3 linked regions of the Drosophila melanogaster genome follow. The protein of the gene in region 3 interacts with the protein of the main gene of each other region in a biochemical or structural test. Each region holds a gene or a part of one and is shown on either strand. Other genes may lie near its edges. The genes, in order: Bin1, Sin3A and bcd.

Region 1 (6,512 bases), 9.4 Mb from region 3:
TGCTTTGTGGAAACATTAAACGTAATCCCTTTATCCAGTGGATAGTTGTTCACCACCCGTCAACCGGTCACAAGATAACAACTATATAGCTTTGTTAATGCCGATACCTTTGTAGGCTGCGCACAGCATCCGAGGGAAAATCACGGAATTTGCTGAATTTACCTTTGGCTTGCATGACAATATCAGGTTTTCGTAATTACCCGACACTTCCAGGCATGAACTGTTAATTAAATCATTTACACACCGATGAATCGCACCGCAATTGGATTGTTAACACATTTGTACCAAGTGAATGTATGAAAAATGGTTTCTCTTTTTGGGGTCAGAAAATTCCTGGCATTTCGATTGACCTTCGACGAAATTGTAAATTCTAATGCGGCCCCCATACACATACCATAACAGCTCATCCATCCCCGCCCACTACTTTTACAAATTGGATTGTTATCACTCAAAGTCCTTGGGCGATTCCGAGGAGTTTTCACTTGCCTCAGACTCAAACTGATTCGACCAGCCCCTTTGTTGTCGACTGTCACTCGCAACTGTGCGGCTCCAAGTGCAAATGTATCTGTGTATCTGTAGGTTTCTGTGTGCGCCCGTCTTGTCAGCGCTTTGACATGAAAATAGTTTGGGCCAACTTGGCTATGCAAAAGCGATTTCTATTAGGAGCCGCCATCGCCGACATGTGCTGCCGAAATTCGGTGATTTGGGTAGGATGAAGAGATTACCAAAAGTTTACAGTGGTTCTTGCTTCCAAGCAAGGAAGGAATTAAAATCCTGTTCAGCAAATATTCCAATAAATCGCTTTTAAGCAAGTGTTATCAGCAGTTCAATGTTGAGTTCAACCGGTTGAAACCCGCTGGTTATCGTAAATCATGGCCACGGTAGTTCCCTCGATTCGCTTCTTATCGCGACGACAGTCCCCACTGACGCACCAAATGGACGTATTTAGACTCCATAGATAACATTTGGCTATTGTTACTATGGTTAATTGAGACATTTACAACTCAAGTATACCTCAAGTCAAGCAGAACATACGTATGCGCGCATATACAGTCGAATGGAATCGACGTCGCTGCCAATCAGGCCGATGTGTTAAGTGAGTTAGGGGCACTTTTGCTTTTGGGACGTGACGTCAGTGCAAACTGCAGCTAGATCCAGTCAAGCCAATTGACGAAAGAGCCGACGGCAGCGGTCTGTACGTATTCAATTCATCAATTGGCAAAACCCTGGCAAAAAGGCAAGAAGATGGAAAACAAAACAAAAGCGAACGCAAACAGAAATAGCATAAAATGGACAACAGACGCGACAACACAGGCACCAATCGTAGGGGCAAAAATTATGAGTTGCTTTTATTTTAAAATCGTTTCATTTATTTTGCGTCAGCAGCGCCTCTCAATGAGGAAACGCTGCGTATACATAATTTTCTGGCCACATATACGCACTCCCATATCTTTCTCCCATCGATTCAGTGGTCGTTCGCAATCAAAGGCACAGACGAGTGATCTTTCCTTGGCCTTTTGCAGTCTCTTAAAGACGGGTTGTTTTCGAGTGTTTTTTGCAGCAGAATGGTAATCAGAATGCTCTCGGCAATTCTTTATTGAACGACCGTTCAATAAATTTCACAAAAGGAAATGTTATCAGCGGGTATTCTTAAAATAACTCAATCTTTAACAACTTATATTTGGAATCAATCACATCAACCCGTAATCAGATAACTGATAACATTTTAGAGGAAATAGTTTGTACCGGCACATTAACAAGTTAATGGTTTTGTTATTCGCCTTATCGTGAAATACTGTAAATAAATTTTTTAATTGCTTTTCGAAAGTAGTTGTTTACAACTTAATTTATCAGAGTGTTTTTGTTCTCCGCTCAGAATTAATCACGAAGTGGGGTGGTAATCCAGATTAACATAAGAAAAAAACAATTTTAAAATATAATATTAAGTCGCCATTATGCATGAGTAACAACTAACAAATTGCTATAAATAATAGGAGATAATCTTGAATACTGCTAGAAAGTGTAATACAATGTAAGGCAATTAAATGTGCAATAAAATCAATGTTATTATCAGCATGATTGTATATGTCGGAGCGCGACTCTTCGCATTCCAGAAATTCCTTCTGTGATTTCATATTCTGATGAAATTGTAATATTGCGGTAAAATTCTGTCGAGCGCTGCGGCAGAGGCACGAACAGCCTCTGCAGCTGAGTGAGGTCCGATCGAGTGGTCATAAATAGTGTGTTAGAGAGAGATGACAATGTGGCACACGCCAGTGTGTATAGCCATTAGAGAATATGATGAAGAAGGGACATGTAAGAAGATCCCTTCAGTGAAGTTTGACTGCTGACGTCGATCGGAACTTGCTGCGCTGACGTACAAAATCGCGAAGTGAATAAATAATATGGATGAGACTCCTGTTTCGCCGACATATACAATAGTGCTCAAGACCCTAATGGAATTATACGTTAATAACCAGCCACATTTCTTAGATATTTCTAATATGAGCCATCTGCTGCAGGTTCTTTCCAATATCTAATTCTAGATCTTCTTCGAATACGACCTTTTTGGCCATGAAACGATGATTTGCCACTTCATTCACAAGCATTAATTTGTCATGATTCTCTTAAGCGTGCACTTTATCTGAAAGTCTGAACAGCTGGCTGCGAAATGGATTCCCCGGATTGGAAATGGCAAGTAAATCTGTCCTCGCTACAAACAAGTGGGCACCACTGGGCATTCGGGGAATAGGGATATGGGTAGGAATGGGGATATATTGTGGCATTGGCGAAAGGTCGCTATGCAAAGCCAAGGTCGAGACTTACACCCAGGACATTGTGTTGTGCGGCTGGCAGTAGAAACGCCCACGCACACGCCCCTGTCAACTGGCCGGGTAAAAAATAGAATCAAATACATATGTATACAGAACAGGAGTTGAAGCAAAGCTCGCATTTTATTTGCATTTGTGAATTTATTGCTTTCGGTTACGTCTGCTTCGCCTTGCCACTTTTCCAAACTCGTTGTGCTGCTGCTTGGGGAATTTTCGGAAATTCGAAGTGATTGGGTTTGGAGCAGTAGCCAAGGGCTTCTACTGTTGCTCAAAGCAATTAATATTTGAGAAAAAATAACGAAAACGAAGTAAGGCGGCAGCAACAAAGCGACCGCAACAGTGGCAACAAATCGCCCCACACCGCACGTCTTCAGTTTACAACCAAGGACTTGGCACGTTTAAAATTCAGCCAGCAGCCGCAGCAACGAACACGGACAGTGGGCGGAATTTAATTTCGAAAAACATATTACTTTATTGTTCACATCTTTACCCACCTTCCGATTCGAGTACATACGATTCCACTGAAGCCACTGAAGACTTACTTCACTTAAAGTACATTTTCTTCAACTTCGTGGGGTCTTTCTAGAACTTAAGACTTATTCTAACTTAAAAAGACTATAAAGTTTTTAAACATTCCGTTGTTTTGTCAAATTTGAATAATTTACGAATGTGAATTTGTCGCAGAAGTATTGCTGAGTATTATCTTTATAAATTTTTCATTTTTTAAAGTGACTAAAGAAACAGCTTTAATGCGTCTTACTTCATATTGGTCATCCCGACCACAGTGCACTGGTTACCAAAGTATGCGATAACAATAACATCGTCCACTATGTGGTCGTTGCTGGGGTTACGGGCAGTCAGTCACGGTCACGGCTGCAACCCCTCCGCTCCGGCCAAAACGAGTCCACAGAACAATGGCCAAGGACGAAGGGGGGGGAGGGGGGATTCAATAACAACAGCAGGAACAACAAACATTCTGCTCCCACGCAAGAGCAGCAGGAACTGTGGCAAAAACAGCTGCTGCAGGATCAACGAGGTGGGAGTGGATTCGAGGACTTTAAAACACGAGCCAACTAAAAATATTCAGACACGCCGAAGCGAAAATACCCTTTAGCAGGGGGTTAATTCAAGTGGGGTATTTTCCCCTTCTAGTGTTTTTCTTTTACCAGGGTAATCACAGATTCTGTTTCTGTGCACTTAAACGGGGTTTATTCCGTTTCTAAAAATATCAAATGTCTGGATTGACTTATTTCTTGGTATTTGACTAAAAATAAAAACAAATATGCAGCTTTTGGGAAACTGATTCCTTGTTGACACAATAGAAACCACCATATGACCACACCTTCCACGCTACTGCAATAACTAGAACATTTAGAACAACAAACAGAATGGCACTATTATCGGCAAATGATGGCGCATGCATAAAAATGAGGAGATCGAAAGTGGGTGGCTGGGGATGGGATAACCTTGTACTTCTTGAGATAAAAACAGTTCAGTATTTAGCAGCGGCTTATTCCTGAATGTTTATAAACAAATCGAGCGAGAGAGCGATGCATAAATGAAATATGAGGGGGGGTGAAGGGTGGTTGCAAAGAGGGTGACTTTTCGCAGACGCTGCGGCACCAACACAAGCAAAGCAACGGCAACAATTTGCACGTAAAACTCAGCTGCTGCTGCTGCTGCTGTTGCCGTTACATAAGAAACTCTTGCAAAAAGTGCAAATCTCAATTCGGTATGCAAATGGACCGCTGCCACAATGTACTCACCGTTTTTAGAAACTATTCAGTGGCCAAATTGCGATTCTGCTTTTATGCGCCAATAACAAACGGCTCTTCTCCACCGTTGTTGTTGCTCTCCTCCTTGTTGTTGTGGTCGCAGCTACTGCTTAGCGAAGCAGTTGTTATTGTTGTTGCGGCAACAGTAATTTGCAAGTGCACCGCTATTGTTGAATGTTTTTAGACGATTGTCATGCCAGTGGAAGCTTCCAGTCTGCGTCATTCGCGGAGACGCGTAGTTTCACGTTCGACGACACAACCGCTCACAGCGAATTTTGTTTTCGGACTAGAGCTGAGAAACGGCGAATTTTGGTGCTTCTGGAAACATCGATTAAACTAAAACCCGATAAGTATGCGACAAGCGGTCACACTCGGCGATGTGCGATAGGATTGCTGCATTCGATTATATAGTTATCGAAAAGAGCAAAGAGAAGCCGGAATATACGGCATTAAAAGTGCATTTTGTATTAAAATTAAGAAAATTAGTAACGATATACCGCAGAATAGGGAGACATGGCCAACGTGGAATCTATGATTGTGGAGGAAAAGACGCAGGTCAAGCAGATTGACCGCGAGAAGGTTTGTTTGTGACCCCGGTCATGTTTACTTCGCGTTTGCTCTAGATGTGTTAATAAGTTTATGTATTTTCCAGACCTGTCCTATGCTGCTCCGTGTCTTCTGCTCTACGGGACGACACCACTCCGTGTCGGAGTATATGTTCGGCAACGTGCCCACCAACGAGCTTCAGATTTACACCTGGCAAGACGCCACCCTGCACGAACTGACCTCTCTGGTGCGAGACGTCAATCCGGACACCCGGAAGAAGGGCACCTACTTTGACTTTGCTGTCGTGTACCCCAACTTCCGGAGTAATCACTTCCAGATGCGCGAAATCGGAGTGACCTGCACGGGTCAAAAAGGAATCGATGATAATAAGACACTTGCTCAGGCCAAATTCAGCATTGGAGACTTTCTGGACATCTCGATTACTCCGCCCAACCGACTGCCGCCAACCGCCAGGCGCCAGCGTCCGTACTGATTCTTCACTTTCATCTATTCTAATCATTTTAATCTTTCACTTGACACTCAATGGAGTATGAACATAATTATAAGTGGAATACAAGTAAGACGAACTACGAGCTGCTTGACTTAAGGGACTATATGTTGTGGGGAGTATCAGTTCCTGTAAAAGCCGTTCGGGCGCTTCGACTTCTTCTTGCCCAACTGCGTCATGTCGATCTCCAGACCATTGGGCAGCACGGCGCGATTCTCTTCGTAGTTGACGAACCCGTTCTCTTGTAGCTCTTCCTCGTTGTTGCGGTTGTTAGGATCGCACTTGATTCCAGTCTCATAGTGGTACTCACGTTTGTTGCCATCTGGATCAACGTAGCCATAGGTTCCCCTGGTGAACGAGAAGTTTGGGTAAGTGGGAGAAAGAGGTTGGATTCAATCTGTTTTACTCACTTGGTGATGCAATCGGTGCCGATCAGCTCCTCCTTGAAAGATCCGTCGTCGTTCTCATAGCCCCATGTGATGCTTCCGTCCTCGTTTTCCTCACGCCACTTGCGAATGGTCTGGGAAACGGGCTGACGGCGACGCTGCTGCTGCTGGTCAACGTGATCGTCCTGTAGCTGATTTTGATCAATGATGGGACGCGGCTGGACAGGCTTAGGGCGTGGCCTGGCCATAGGCTGTGGTGGTGGTGATTCAGGTCGTAGGGCAGCGGAAGACGCTGGTCTTGTTCGGATCACAGCCACCCGCTGGGGCTGTTGTTGCGGTGGTGGTGGCGCTGCTGCAGTGGGCGTAGGTCGCTCCAATCCGAATCTCTGCGAGTTCTCAAACCGACCAATGCCAAAATCATTGAAGGCGGCGGGACGGTTCAGGGGCGTCGGAATAGATGGCCGTT
Region 2 (5,404 bases), on a different chromosome or scaffold from region 3:
TTATAGTTTTGATGAGAATTAATACTAAAGTTAAATATTTTATAGTAAAGTTTTCCATTTACTGTGTTGTCAATTTTTTAGGACAAACAAACAATAAATAACAAAAAGTTTTTATCACATTAAATATCATGTGACTCAAGAGAGTTAAAAACATCTGATAATTTGCAGAACACGTACGAATATCAAACTAATTAGTTTTTTTTATAGAAATGGGTCCGTGTGACAGGAACCTCTTTACCACATTTCAGATATCACTTGATCAGCGTCAGTTAATATTTCCTAGTGCCGCATTCCATGACAGATCTGAAATTAGCACAGGAATAATTAGAACATGCTAGACCACCTGGCTTTATTATCAATAGAAAAAAGCATCAATAATACCCAATGGGAGGGCAAACAAACCTTCCTGCGGCGCCTGGAAGTCGGAGAGTTTGGTTTGTGCCATTTTTTTGTTTGGTCCAGGGACTTTGGTGCACCTCGGACATGCGCTGCACCCAGTAGCTAGTTAGTTGCATGTGAACTTTGAACTTTCGAGCTGGAAAGTGGAAGGCGGATTTGCATTTCCTATCGCTGCAGGTGTCTCACAAAGAGAGAGGCTCTCTCGTATCCTCCGCCCCCGCTGCATTTTTTTCATTGCGCAATGAGCGAGACGAATCGATAACTGCAAGGTTTCCATGTTTTAGCAGCTCAACTTTTGCGCGTATACAGATTTTTTGTCTGTATTATTTTATTTTGTGAAGGAGCTGGCCGCCGAATTCAGTTCGATTCGAGATGGGAACATGTGTTTTTATGGTTCCGCCATTGTCATGGTGAGATGCACTTGCTTTTTTTTGTCTTCATATTTTTACTTCCTCTCTCCGCACGCACGCGTCTGTGTGTGAGTGCGCTGGCGAGTGAGGTGGTGGAGGAGTACATGAGTGTGTAAAGTGTAGCCGTGGCAGAGTTGTAGCTCGCTAGTGGTCCGTTTGGTTTCTGATTTTCGGTTTCGTCGATTTCACATATGTACTGCAATGGTCGGCTAAAACGCTCTGCCGACGTCGCTATCTGCTGTATACTCGTTGCGCTTGTGTGGGTGCGCTGCTCTCACACCCGCTCTCTCTCTTTGGCTCAAACAGGGTGTCTTACCCAGATGTTCTGATCATCGTTTCCACCACATGGCTGGGTGACAATGGTACACCCTGTTTTCTAAACAACTTGTTTTCTCTCTTCCCAGCGTTGTTGTTGGTCCTCGCACTTACGTAAGCCTCACGTATTTCGTTTCTTATCCAAATTCTAAGCGCCATTTTGCGACTATTTGCATGCGGTACCGCTCACCGCTAATAAAAATAACCACTGATTGTGATTATTTGCTAATAGGTAATGAATGGTATATAAACTATTTTTGCCGTCAGCTACTGATGTGTTTTCAACGCGCTCGACGGAGGATTTTAGTTGTTGCGCCGTTGAGTTGCCACCCTGTTTTAGCTGCGGCAGCAGAATAAAATGAATTCCAAAGCAACACTGCGCGCGCGCTCTCACGCTCTCCGTTTTACACTCATTTCGCTCTCTCTGCTGACTCCAAATGACTGGCCGTCGCGTTTCGCTGTTTTAATCGAAAATGTTTGCGGCGGCGTTGAGATGTACGAAAACGTTCTCTCGCCAAAAATTTGTGAATAGAATAGCAGTAGCAATCTATCGAGAAGAAAATGTCTTAAATTCGAGCCGTGTGATCTAGTTAAGGTCTTAGAGCCAAGTGCAAATTGATTGAAATAAGCGTTAAACTTAAACTGAACTGGAGAACGAAGCCCCAGCTACTGAAAGAAAAGAAAACGGTGAAAATAAAGATTTCGGTGTGCCAGTGAGTGCGAATATAGTAGTTGCATGTGCAAAATACTGCGTAAAACGTGAAAGTTTCCAATAACACCACAAAACCAACGGCAGTTTTGTAGTAAATATACATACGCGCCCCGTACATATATACATACATTTCGAATATACATACACACAGCCGAATATCAACCGACGAAGCTAACTGCTTATTGCTGATGTAAGTGTAATATGGGCGGTGGGCGGTTGTGGGGGGCGTGAAAATTGCAGAGTAGCATTATCCTTCAAGTGCACTTGGAGTGCGGATTCGAGTTCAAACAATATTTTCGTTCGTGCCACTGAAAACTTGTGAAAATACAACATTTTTAGGTTAGGTCAATTTCAATTGGTTTATATACACACGCACGCACAAACTCACACACACACAAACAACAATGGCATAGCGAATACATATAGAAGGCGCACAGACAAAAAGTCGTCGACGGGGACGTGGTTGTTGTTTGTGTTGCTGCTGCTGCTGCCTCTACAGTTTCTGCTCTCCTCACACACAGTTGAACACAGTTGTGGAGAGGAGAGCCACACTCATACATACGCTTTGAACCATTGCTTTTGGTTCGCTTATGAACTGACTGTATTTTTTCAACGTAGTGTCGTTTTATTTTCGTTGTTGATTCGTTCTTTGCTCAGTTCGTGCGCTTATCTTGACTTTTGCTTTGATGCGCCATTCGCATGTACTGGCGAGAGCAGCCTAGTGTGAGTGTGCATTTAAATGGCTCCCCAATGAGAGCATCATTTTGTGGCCCTCTTTTTGTTCAGATCTTCCTTTTGCTCCTCTTCTTCATGCTCCCCAGCCCATCCGTCGTTTGTTGTTCTTGCTCCGCCTGTTTTTTTTCATTCGGTTTTGAATTTACACAAAACGTTTGCCGTTGCTTCTTCATGCTGAAATAGTATATATGTATGTGAATATATTGTACATATTTCTCTACACATCCATATGTTTTATTTGCAAAATTTATTAATAGCGCAGCGCCACTCCGCGGCTGTGTTAGTGCGCCAGAGTGAGAAAGTAACAGTAAAAAACTAAATATTAATTCGCGTTGATTCCGATTCGTATTGCAGTTGTTCAAAACCGAGTGCTAGTGATATTTGCAAAAAATTTAACATATTTTCCGCTGGCTGCCTTTTGTGTTGCGTATTCTGCTGTGCTGTGTATACACATAACAAAACAGATAAGATAACATTATACGTGTGCACGTAATAGAGCGGGCTGAATCAAAAAAAAAAAAAAAGAAAAAATGGAGGGAAAATTTGCCCACATGTCTCCCCAAAGCACACACACGCACACAACGCCCCAATTTGGAGCCTCTCTCGTCAAACACTCACACACACCAGCAAGCGAGTAAATGTGTTTGGTATGCACTAATGGCGGATCCAAAAATACAATAACAACAAAGACAGTTGGGAGAGCTCAAAAGAGCGAACTTGTTTTACCTTCATTTATTAAAGGATAGTTGGTGGTGGCAGAGACAGGAGAGAGAACGAGGGCTAAAGCTTTTGTGCGGCTGTACTGTGCTCCAATATTTGTTTACAAATGCTAAAAGGGGGCAGCTGTTGGTTCGATGGGGTGTTTCAATTAGTTGGAGCAGGATGATCCTCTAGGCGGTTTCCATTCACCTAATATTTGCTCGCGGTCTTTGGTTTGCGCAGCGTTGCGCTCTCTTCATTTTTGCCGCTCTCTCTCTCGAATGCCCGCCAAATGCTTGCTGTGTCCGTGTGTGAGTTTGGCCCCAAACGGGTGAAATACCTTTTTGAAAAAAAAAAAATCATCCATATACTGCGCCTCAACAACAAATGCGGCTCTCTCTGGTTCTCTCTGTGGCTGCACCACCACCACCGTATCGCCACCACCACCTTTGCATTGTTGCGTTTGCTGCTGCTGTTACCTCTGACTCTTCTTCTTCTTATTCTTGTAAGTTGTAGATACAGAACATGTACCAGCAGCTCTCACACACCACCCGCCCGCCCCCTTGGCGGTATCGATATATAAATATTTTCTATGTGTGCGTCTGAATTCTATGCAAGCCGATGTCGTGCATGGGGCATTTGGCACCTTCCACATTCACAAATACTGATATGTACACACATACACACACACTCGGAGGTGTACACAGAAAGCTCGCTTAGGAAGTTTTTACTGTACCGCTGAAAGCAATAACAAAGCGCGCGCCCAATTCCGGTTGAACGTACACACACTAAAGTGAATTACGCGCTCCTCCTTATGCCTTGCACTCACTCTCCTCCAAGACTCAACTTCCACTCCACGATCTCCTTCCCGTCTATATGTATCAATCTCTGGTTGCTGTTGTTGTTATTGGTCACAGCTCCACTGCTTCATTCCATTCCTATTGTCCCTCATCTCACTCTTCTCCCCCGAATCCAGAACACCCAATACAGAGACACCGTTCTCCACTCTGTAGTTTTTGTGATACGGCTAAAAGAAGAATTCCCCCGTGGCTTTTTAGTTCACCTTTTTTCTTGTTGAAATATGCAATCGTTCCGATATCTGTGAAGATATAGACCGAATTGATCAATCAGCTGTGCTATACTAGCTAACATGTTTTGGGAAAATTAGCAAGACTCGTGGTCTTTAATATATGGAAAAGTATATTTGGCATATTTGTCCTTTCATTTCAGTGTCAGTGAATAAATTCTAGTATTAATGTGTAAGATTGTTCCAGTAATGCAGAATTTAATGATGACTAACTTCATTAAAAATAGACCCAAACCTAATTCTTGGGGGTTTTTATACATTTAATGTCGACATTATTGTATGACCGTTTCCCTTCTCTTGCTTTGCTTGCAGTGATATTCAGAAAGAACTCCAAACGCTACGTGGCAGAGGCGAATCACCGGCGCAGCAACACCAGCAGCAGATAACCAGCCGTCAGTCCAATTTCTCTACCTTAGAACTCGAGCGCATTTGCCGCTTGCGGGGCGACCAAATGCATAGACAACATATGTCGCATTCACGAGCAGTCCAAGATCAAGAGTTGCGACCCCGACCGTTTGTTGCATATTACATACGCTCATAGAGGGCGGCCACTCACCTAGAGCAGCCAGAGTCCTTGCACTTGGGCAGGGATCCAGGGAGCAACAAAGTGCTTAGAAAGAAGAAGCAGCAGCACAGGATTATACGCTCCGCCGAGGACAGAGCAACAAAAAAGATGATGAAACGCACTCGCGTAGACGAGGTGCAATTTGGCACACGACCCGTTCCTCAGACCTCCGGAGGTGTGGGCGTTGGTGTCGTCGGCGTAACTGGAGGTGGGCCAACATCCGGCGGCGGTGGCACTGCTACTGTGGGCGTCAATACGACGGGCGTTACCATTGGTACCGTCGTGCCCAGTGCTCATAACGCCACCATCAGCGGGATCGGTTCCATTCACCATCGCATCCTTACTCCACAGCATGGAGGAGCACAAACCATTGCCTATTTGCCGTCCACCACGCCGACGGCTACGAATTTGAAGACCACAACCTCGATTGTGGATAGCACTACCGCTGGAGGACCAGTAGGAGCAGGAGCACAGGTGGCCGT
Region 3 (6,802 bases):
TTCCAGTTAACTATCAACGGACCGCATAGGGCGCTTCTATTCCGTCCCTTTCTCGCTGCCCACTGACGGCTCTCCTTGTCCTCAGCTGCATCCCGGCAGCGTCATTATGACCATTGCGGCGATGCCTCTTGGATGCAGGTTCAGGTCCTGGTCCAGGTCCTGGCAGGTCCGGCTGCTTCATGCAACGCTCGACTTGGCCCGACCGAACTGGACACACACCGAAACCGAACGAAAGAGACGGCTAGACGGCGTGCGACAGAGAGGGCTGCCGCTCGCATTCAGGCGCAAGCGGATCCAAAACAGAAAATGTCAAATTTTGTAATTTATTACCCGAATCCTGTTTCTGTCAGTGACTCTTTGGGTGTTTCGCTTCAGCAGCGGCACACACGGGGGCATTCAGCATTCAGGGTCGCCGAGCGGGGAAGGGAGAAGTCCTTTGTCACACACTGCGTCTGAATTTGTGGCCCAGTTCCGCACAGTGGTATCTAGCAGATACTTTTTGTAATATTTGTAAGAATGCACAGAACTTCGTTACATTCAGAGATTTCTAGTTTCTAGTCAGATGACTAAATACAATATTATGTGTCAAAGTAATTAATTTTGTTTTTGAATAAATTTCTAAAATATCAGCTTGCCTTTAACGTAAATATAGCCTTTTCTACCTATCTTTATCTGATATAAAAAAGTAGCATTTGAAATGCTGTTGTTGCAATGGTATCGAATTGGTATTAAAGCTCTGGCCCTGTTTAATTTGTATTTGTAGTCAGAGCAACCACTGTACCTTTGTGTGTATCCTTGGGCTTTGCCTATGCGAACGTATTTTGTTTGCCTTTTGGCTGCACTCCGACTCCGTCGACTGGAGTGTCTGTGAATTGACTTTTGTTGCCAGTTGGCAGCGGCAGAAGCAGCAAAGCCCGGCCAACAGCAACAAGCTCCTGCCAGATCCCAAAAGCAAACACGACAATTATTTGGCAAATGTCATTAAAAAATATTTCACTTAAGGCCTTGCGACACTTGCTTAAAGGTCAACTGGCTCGTTGGGTGTGTTTTAAAATGTTAAAGCTTGGGCCAATGCACTGAGCAACTTAATGCTTGTAGATATTTACACAATATTCTTCAACGCTAAACATATCGAATTTTCCAAATATGGAGCCTGAAAATAATAATTGCCAATCCTAGCTTAACATCAGAAATGAGTAGAACAACTTAAAAAAAATTAACAAAAGAATCGAACGCTACAGCTAATTAACTCGACAACTGGTTACCTTTTATTCTTCTAATACATTTTATAATGCACTGCCTAACAGGTACATATAGCAAGCACTATATGCTGTCTTACAAAACGATTATATGATATTTTCTTTCGTACGTAGCCGTTTGAGATCATTTGGAAAAACAAACTCGATCTCCACCATCCTTATTCTTTGTCCCAAGTCCTTATATATCTCGCGATACTAAGATTGAATAATGTAGTTATTAATAGCGGAAGTATGTAACAGAATAAACTACAAAGTGCACATTTTGTTCAATTCAGGCTGGACTGGACTGGAGCATATTAATATTATAATATTAACAAAAATTCAAATTAAACATTCGACACTTGTCTAATTGATTCCTAAATTTGGGGTGCCTGTTTGTTAATTAAATGTTAATATTATGAAGTTCCAAACAGAGCAAAGAGTTTAAGTTTAATTGGTTCTACTTATTTGTTACAATATTCAAGCTTTTTTTTATTATTATTCTCAAATGCAAATCTCTACAAATAAATAAACCTCCGACGTTTTAGAACATTCACCTTTTGTCAGTGAGCACAACCTTTCAATACAGCCCGACAGGGGGCTCTCTACTGCTGTCTCTTCACGCCCCCTGGTGAAAACGCTGTGCACTCAATCGGTTTGCAGCTTTGCCGTACTGTTCGATTAAAAACTTTTAAATTAGAGGCAAACATTTAAAAATAAAATGTCCAAATATTTGTCTAAAATGTATTGTAGACGCTTATTGATTTTTAAATTACTCAAAAGAATGAACATCGAGGGAGGGCCGCCAATTGTGCCATCTCTACATCTCTTCGCTCATCCCTAAATAACGGCACTCTGCAGATGCGAAGCAGTGGATCGCAAAAACGCAAAATGTGGGCGAAATAAGTTCGCGAGCGTCTCGAAAGTAACCGGTTACTGAAAATACAAGAAAGTTTCCACACTCCTTTGCCATTTTTCCGCGCGGCGCTTGGAAATTCGTAAAGATAACGCGGCGGAGTGTTTGGGGAAAATGGCGCAACCGCCGCCAGATCAAAACTTTTACCATCATCCGCTGCCCCACACGCACACACATCCGCATCCGCACTCCCATCCGCATCCGCACTCGCATCCGCACCCACATCACCAACATCCGCAGCTTCAGTTGCCGCCACAATTCCGAAATCCCTTCGATTTGGTGAGTTCCCATCGCAGCAGAGAAGGGCTCTTGTCCCAGGAAAGCTACAGTACAGATTCCCTATGGTGAACAAACAACCAGTGCGATCACTGATGACCATAAACATTTATTGAGCCGCAGCAAATGTGTTTCTAGAACATAGGGCGAAATCTTCTATTATCTTGTTTGTGACTTTTAAAGTATCGTAGCAGAATCTAAAAACCAATTGATATTATTAATCGTTACAGTTAGTATAGTATATAATTGTATATGAATTGTGGGGCATCATGTTATTAGTGATTTGCCGAAATGTTCTAAAAGGTGTTTCATTGAAATGGACGAATGTTAAACCTGTTGCACTCACACCGACAATCAGTAATGTCTATTTTTCAAAAGCCACATCTATGGCCACTGGGTATACATTATTGACTTTATACACTTCATACAACATATTTTCTAAAACAAGCATTGTTGTCCTGCATGATGATTAGTGAAAGTAATATTGCAAGATTCGGTCCCCGAAGCGAATCGTCCTTTCACGTTTTTATATAAAGACAGTGTACCCCTTGATTCTTTGAAGCTTTTCGATGAGCGAACGGGAGCGATAAACTACAACTACATACGTCCGTATCTGCCCAACCAGATGCCCAAGCCAGGTGAGCTCAAAGCCAACAAAGTCAGCCATCGTCTTATCAGATGTCTTTCCCTCAGAGGAGCTGCCCGACTCTCTGGTGATGCGGCGACCACGTCGCACCCGCACCACTTTTACCAGCTCTCAAATAGCAGAGCTGGAGCAGCACTTTCTGCAGGGACGATACCTCACAGCCCCCCGACTTGCGGATCTGTCAGCGAAACTAGCCCTGGGCACAGCCCAGGTGAAGATATGGTTTAAGAACCGTCGGCGTCGTCACAAGATCCAATCGGATCAGCACAAGGACCAGTCCTACGAGGGGATGCCTCTCTCGCCGGGTATGAAACAGAGCGATGGCGATCCCCCCAGCTTGCAGACTCTTAGCTTGGGTGGAGGAGCCACGCCCAACGCTTTGACTCCGTCACCCACGCCCTCAACGCCCACTGCACACATGACGGAGCACTACAGCGAGTCATTCAACGCCTACTACAACTACAATGGAGGCCACAATCACGCCCAGGCCAATCGTCACATGCACATGCAGTATCCTTCCGGAGGGGGGCCAGGACCTGGGTCGACCAATGTCAATGGCGGCCAGTTCTTCCAGCAGCAGCAGGTCCATAATCACCAGCAGCAACTGCACCACCAGGGCAACCACGTGCCGCACCAGATGCAGCAGCAGCAACAGCAGGCTCAGCAGCAGCAATACCATCACTTTGACTTCCAGCAAAAGCAAGCCAGCGCCTGTCGCGTCCTGGTCAAGGACGAACCGGAGGCCGACTACAACTTCAACAGCTCGTACTACATGCGATCGGGAATGTCTGGCGCCACTGCATCGGCATCCGCTGTGGCCCGAGGCGCTGCCTCGCCGGGCTCCGAGGTCTACGAGCCATTAACACCCAAGAATGACGAAAGTCCGAGTCTGTGTGGCATCGGCATCGGCGGACCTTGCGCCATCGCCGTTGGCGAGACGGAGGCGGCCGACGACATGGACGACGGAACGAGCAAGAAGACGACGCTACAGGTCAGGCATGAGTCCACAACCTTTTTTGATCTCTTGATTCTGAGTGTGGCGTTTATAAATTGAAGCTTTAAGCTTTGTAACTTTCAAACTGTCTGGTTTGAGATGTTATTCTGAAAGTACTTCTATTTCCGATCGATGAGATTTGGGAGTTCTCCAATATTTAACATTTAACTTATTAAGTTTTTGTTTTCTAAATTAGACATGGCATTTCTGAAAGGGAAGTACAAGTGTTAAAGATGTATTTTAATATAGAATTTGTATCAAAGGTTAAGATTTCAACCGTTTGAAAGCCCTTAGTTTTCAGGGTTTTTTACTTTTTTATTCATGTAATCACTCTTAATACACTGCAAGTTAAAATAGCATTTCTTTGACCAGAAAAATAAGATCTATGCATTTTAAAAGTGAAAACAGACTCATATGCTGATGAACATTTTTAGCTATAAATTGTAACAATAATTTAGCAATTTCAATCGAATTTATTTATGTTCTAAATGCGTTCGCTCTCTCCCTAGATCTTGGAGCCTTTGAAGGGTCTGGACAAGAGCTGCGACGATGGCAGTAGCGACGACATGAGCACCGGAATAAGAGCCTTAGCAGGAACCGGAAATCGTGGAGCGGCATTTGCCAAATTTGGCAAGCCTTCGCCCCCACAAGGCCCTCAGCCGCCCCTCGGAATGGGGGGCGTGGCCATGGGCGAATCGAACCAATATCAATGCACGATGGATACGATAATGCAAGCGTATAATCCCCATCGGAACGCCGCGGGCAACTCGCAGTTTGCCTACTGCTTCAATTAGCCTGGATGAGAGGCGTGTTAGAGAGTTTCATTAGCTTTAGGTTAACCACTGTTGTTCCTGATTGTACAAATACCAAGTGATTGTAGATATCTACGCGTAGAAAGTTAGGTCTAGTCCTAAGATCCGTGTAAATGGTTCCCAGGGAAGTTTTATGTACTAGCCTAGTCAGCAGGCCGCACGGATTCCAGTGCATATCTTAGTGATACTCCAGTTAACTCTATACTTTCCCTGCAATACGCTATTCGCCTTAGATGTATCTGGGTGGCTGCTCCACTAAAGCCCGGGAATATGCAACCAGTTACATTTGAGGCCATTTGGGCTTAAGCGTATTCCATGGAAAGTTATCGTCCCACATTTCGGAAATTATATTCCGAGCCAGCAAGAAAATCTTCTCTGTTACAATTTGACATAGCTAAAAACTGTACTAATCAAAATGAAAAATGTTTCTCTTGGGCGTAATCTCATACAATGATTACCCTTAAAGATCGAACATTTAAACAATAATATTTGATATGATATTTTCAATTTCTATGCTATGCCAAAGTGTCTGACATAATCAAACATTTGCGCATTCTTTGACCAAGAATAGTCAGCAAATTGTATTTTCAATCAATGCAGACCATTTGTTTCAGATTCGGAGATTTTTTGCTGCCAAACGGAATAACTATCATAGCTCACATTCTATTTACATCACTAAGAAGAGCATTGCAATCTGTTAGGCCTCAAGTTTAATTTTAAAATGCTGCACCTTTGATGTTGTCTCTTTAAGCTTTGTATTTTTAATTACGAAAATATATAAGAACTACTCTACTCGGGTAAATTGTGACTAACTACACATAACTACATACTTAGCCCATATTTCCGTCCCTTTCTAGAATGAACGAAAACAGTATCTGGTTTTCCCGAAAATCTTATGAATTTAAAAATGCACTTTATTGCACATACTCACACATGCCTGCCATAAAATATGATTCGCGATTTTTCCGCGAACACCCGCGGATCATAAAACATTTGCACCAGCTGCCTGTGTTTATTCACCTACCTGAAACCCATACTCTTATCGCCTGATCCTCGCGCGGTCGCACTATTTAGGTAGACACTGTACAGGCAGCACTCGCGGGGCGCCGCCAGGCAACTTGTTGCCCCTATTTTCTTTGATATAAGTTTTGGGAAATCCAGAAGTCCAATAACGGGGCCTATATGAACGAATATTGATTGGGTTTCTCCCAGTTATAGAGTTTTTATTGATCTTGGGCGCGTTTTAGTAGGTGGATTATGGATGTCCTGGGAAAACCAAGCTCTGAATCCATTCTTACTTATCACAAGACTTGTTTTCCTGTGCCCTTCATCACACCTAGTTTAACTACTATAATTAATAAACTACTTTTTAATCCGCCATTTATGAAGATAATTTATAGCATCTATGCATCTTTCAAATATCGCGAGATATCGCAAAGTATTCATAAATTAGTTTTTTATTGATATTGTAAAGCTTTTTAATTTGGTTCAGGTTTTTATTGTAAATACTTTTCACAATTGTGCACAGTGACCCATTAACATGGTTGCGATATTAACTTAAGACTTAAACAAGTTAATTAAGAGTTTTAGCACTTCTTTTCAAAAGATCATGTTTTAATTATGTTTTTAAATGAATCTTTTCGACAATTCTAAAAATATTATTTCGAAAATGTTAATTTTCATATATAACCTAAGTAAAGATATTTTCAACTGTACCTCACTCTCGCCGCGACATTTCCACACGGTTATCCTGTTATGACTTTTCCTTTGTTCCAACGTATTTTTAGCGAATTCTCGGAAGGAGAAAATCCGATAGCGCCAGTAATAAAATTTGCGAACAATTCCCTAGTTCGAGGACTGAGGATGGGAAGGCCTATGGACCGGAGACCCGAGACAGATTCGCATTCGCCGCGTCGGAGA

Evidence for each region.
Region 1: the proteins of bcd (region 3) and Bin1 form a complex in vitro, tested with the Drosophila melanogaster proteins (one study listed by BioGRID).
Region 2: the proteins of bcd (region 3) and Sin3A form a complex in vitro, tested with the Drosophila melanogaster proteins (one study listed by BioGRID).

The regions. Positions count from the first base shown.
Region 1 is NT_033777.3:16,185,385-16,191,896, reverse strand, and holds Bin1 (bicoid interacting protein 1), read left to right. Parts: upstream 1-2,332; 5' UTR 2,333-2,694; exon of another isoform or gene 2,695-4,790; 5' UTR 4,791-5,119; coding exon 5,120-5,185; intron 5,186-5,258; coding exon 5,259-5,645; 3' UTR 5,646-5,741; downstream 5,742-6,512. Other genes in the region: CG8927 (uncharacterized protein), read right to left, coding at 5,783-6,008, 6,071-6,512. UniProt on the Drosophila melanogaster protein: Involved in the tethering of the SIN3 complex to core histone proteins. Interacts with bicoid (bcd) to repress transcription of bicoid target genes in the anterior tip of the embryo; a process known as retraction.
Region 2 is NT_033778.4:12,585,338-12,590,741, reverse strand, and holds the start of Sin3A (Sin3A), read left to right. Parts: upstream 1-1,589; 5' UTR 1,590-2,026; intron 2,027-4,669; 5' UTR 4,670-5,030; coding exon 5,031-5,404.
Region 3 is NT_033777.3:6,754,738-6,761,539, reverse strand, and holds bcd (bicoid), read left to right. Parts: upstream 1-2,073; 5' UTR 2,074-2,268; coding exon 2,269-2,433; intron 2,434-2,970; exon of another isoform or gene 2,971-2,992; coding exon 2,993-3,068; intron 3,069-3,108; coding exon 3,109-4,067; intron 4,068-4,579; coding exon 4,580-4,864; 3' UTR 4,865-5,698; downstream 5,699-6,802. UniProt on the Drosophila melanogaster protein: Segment polarity transcription factor that provides positional cues for the development of head and thoracic segments.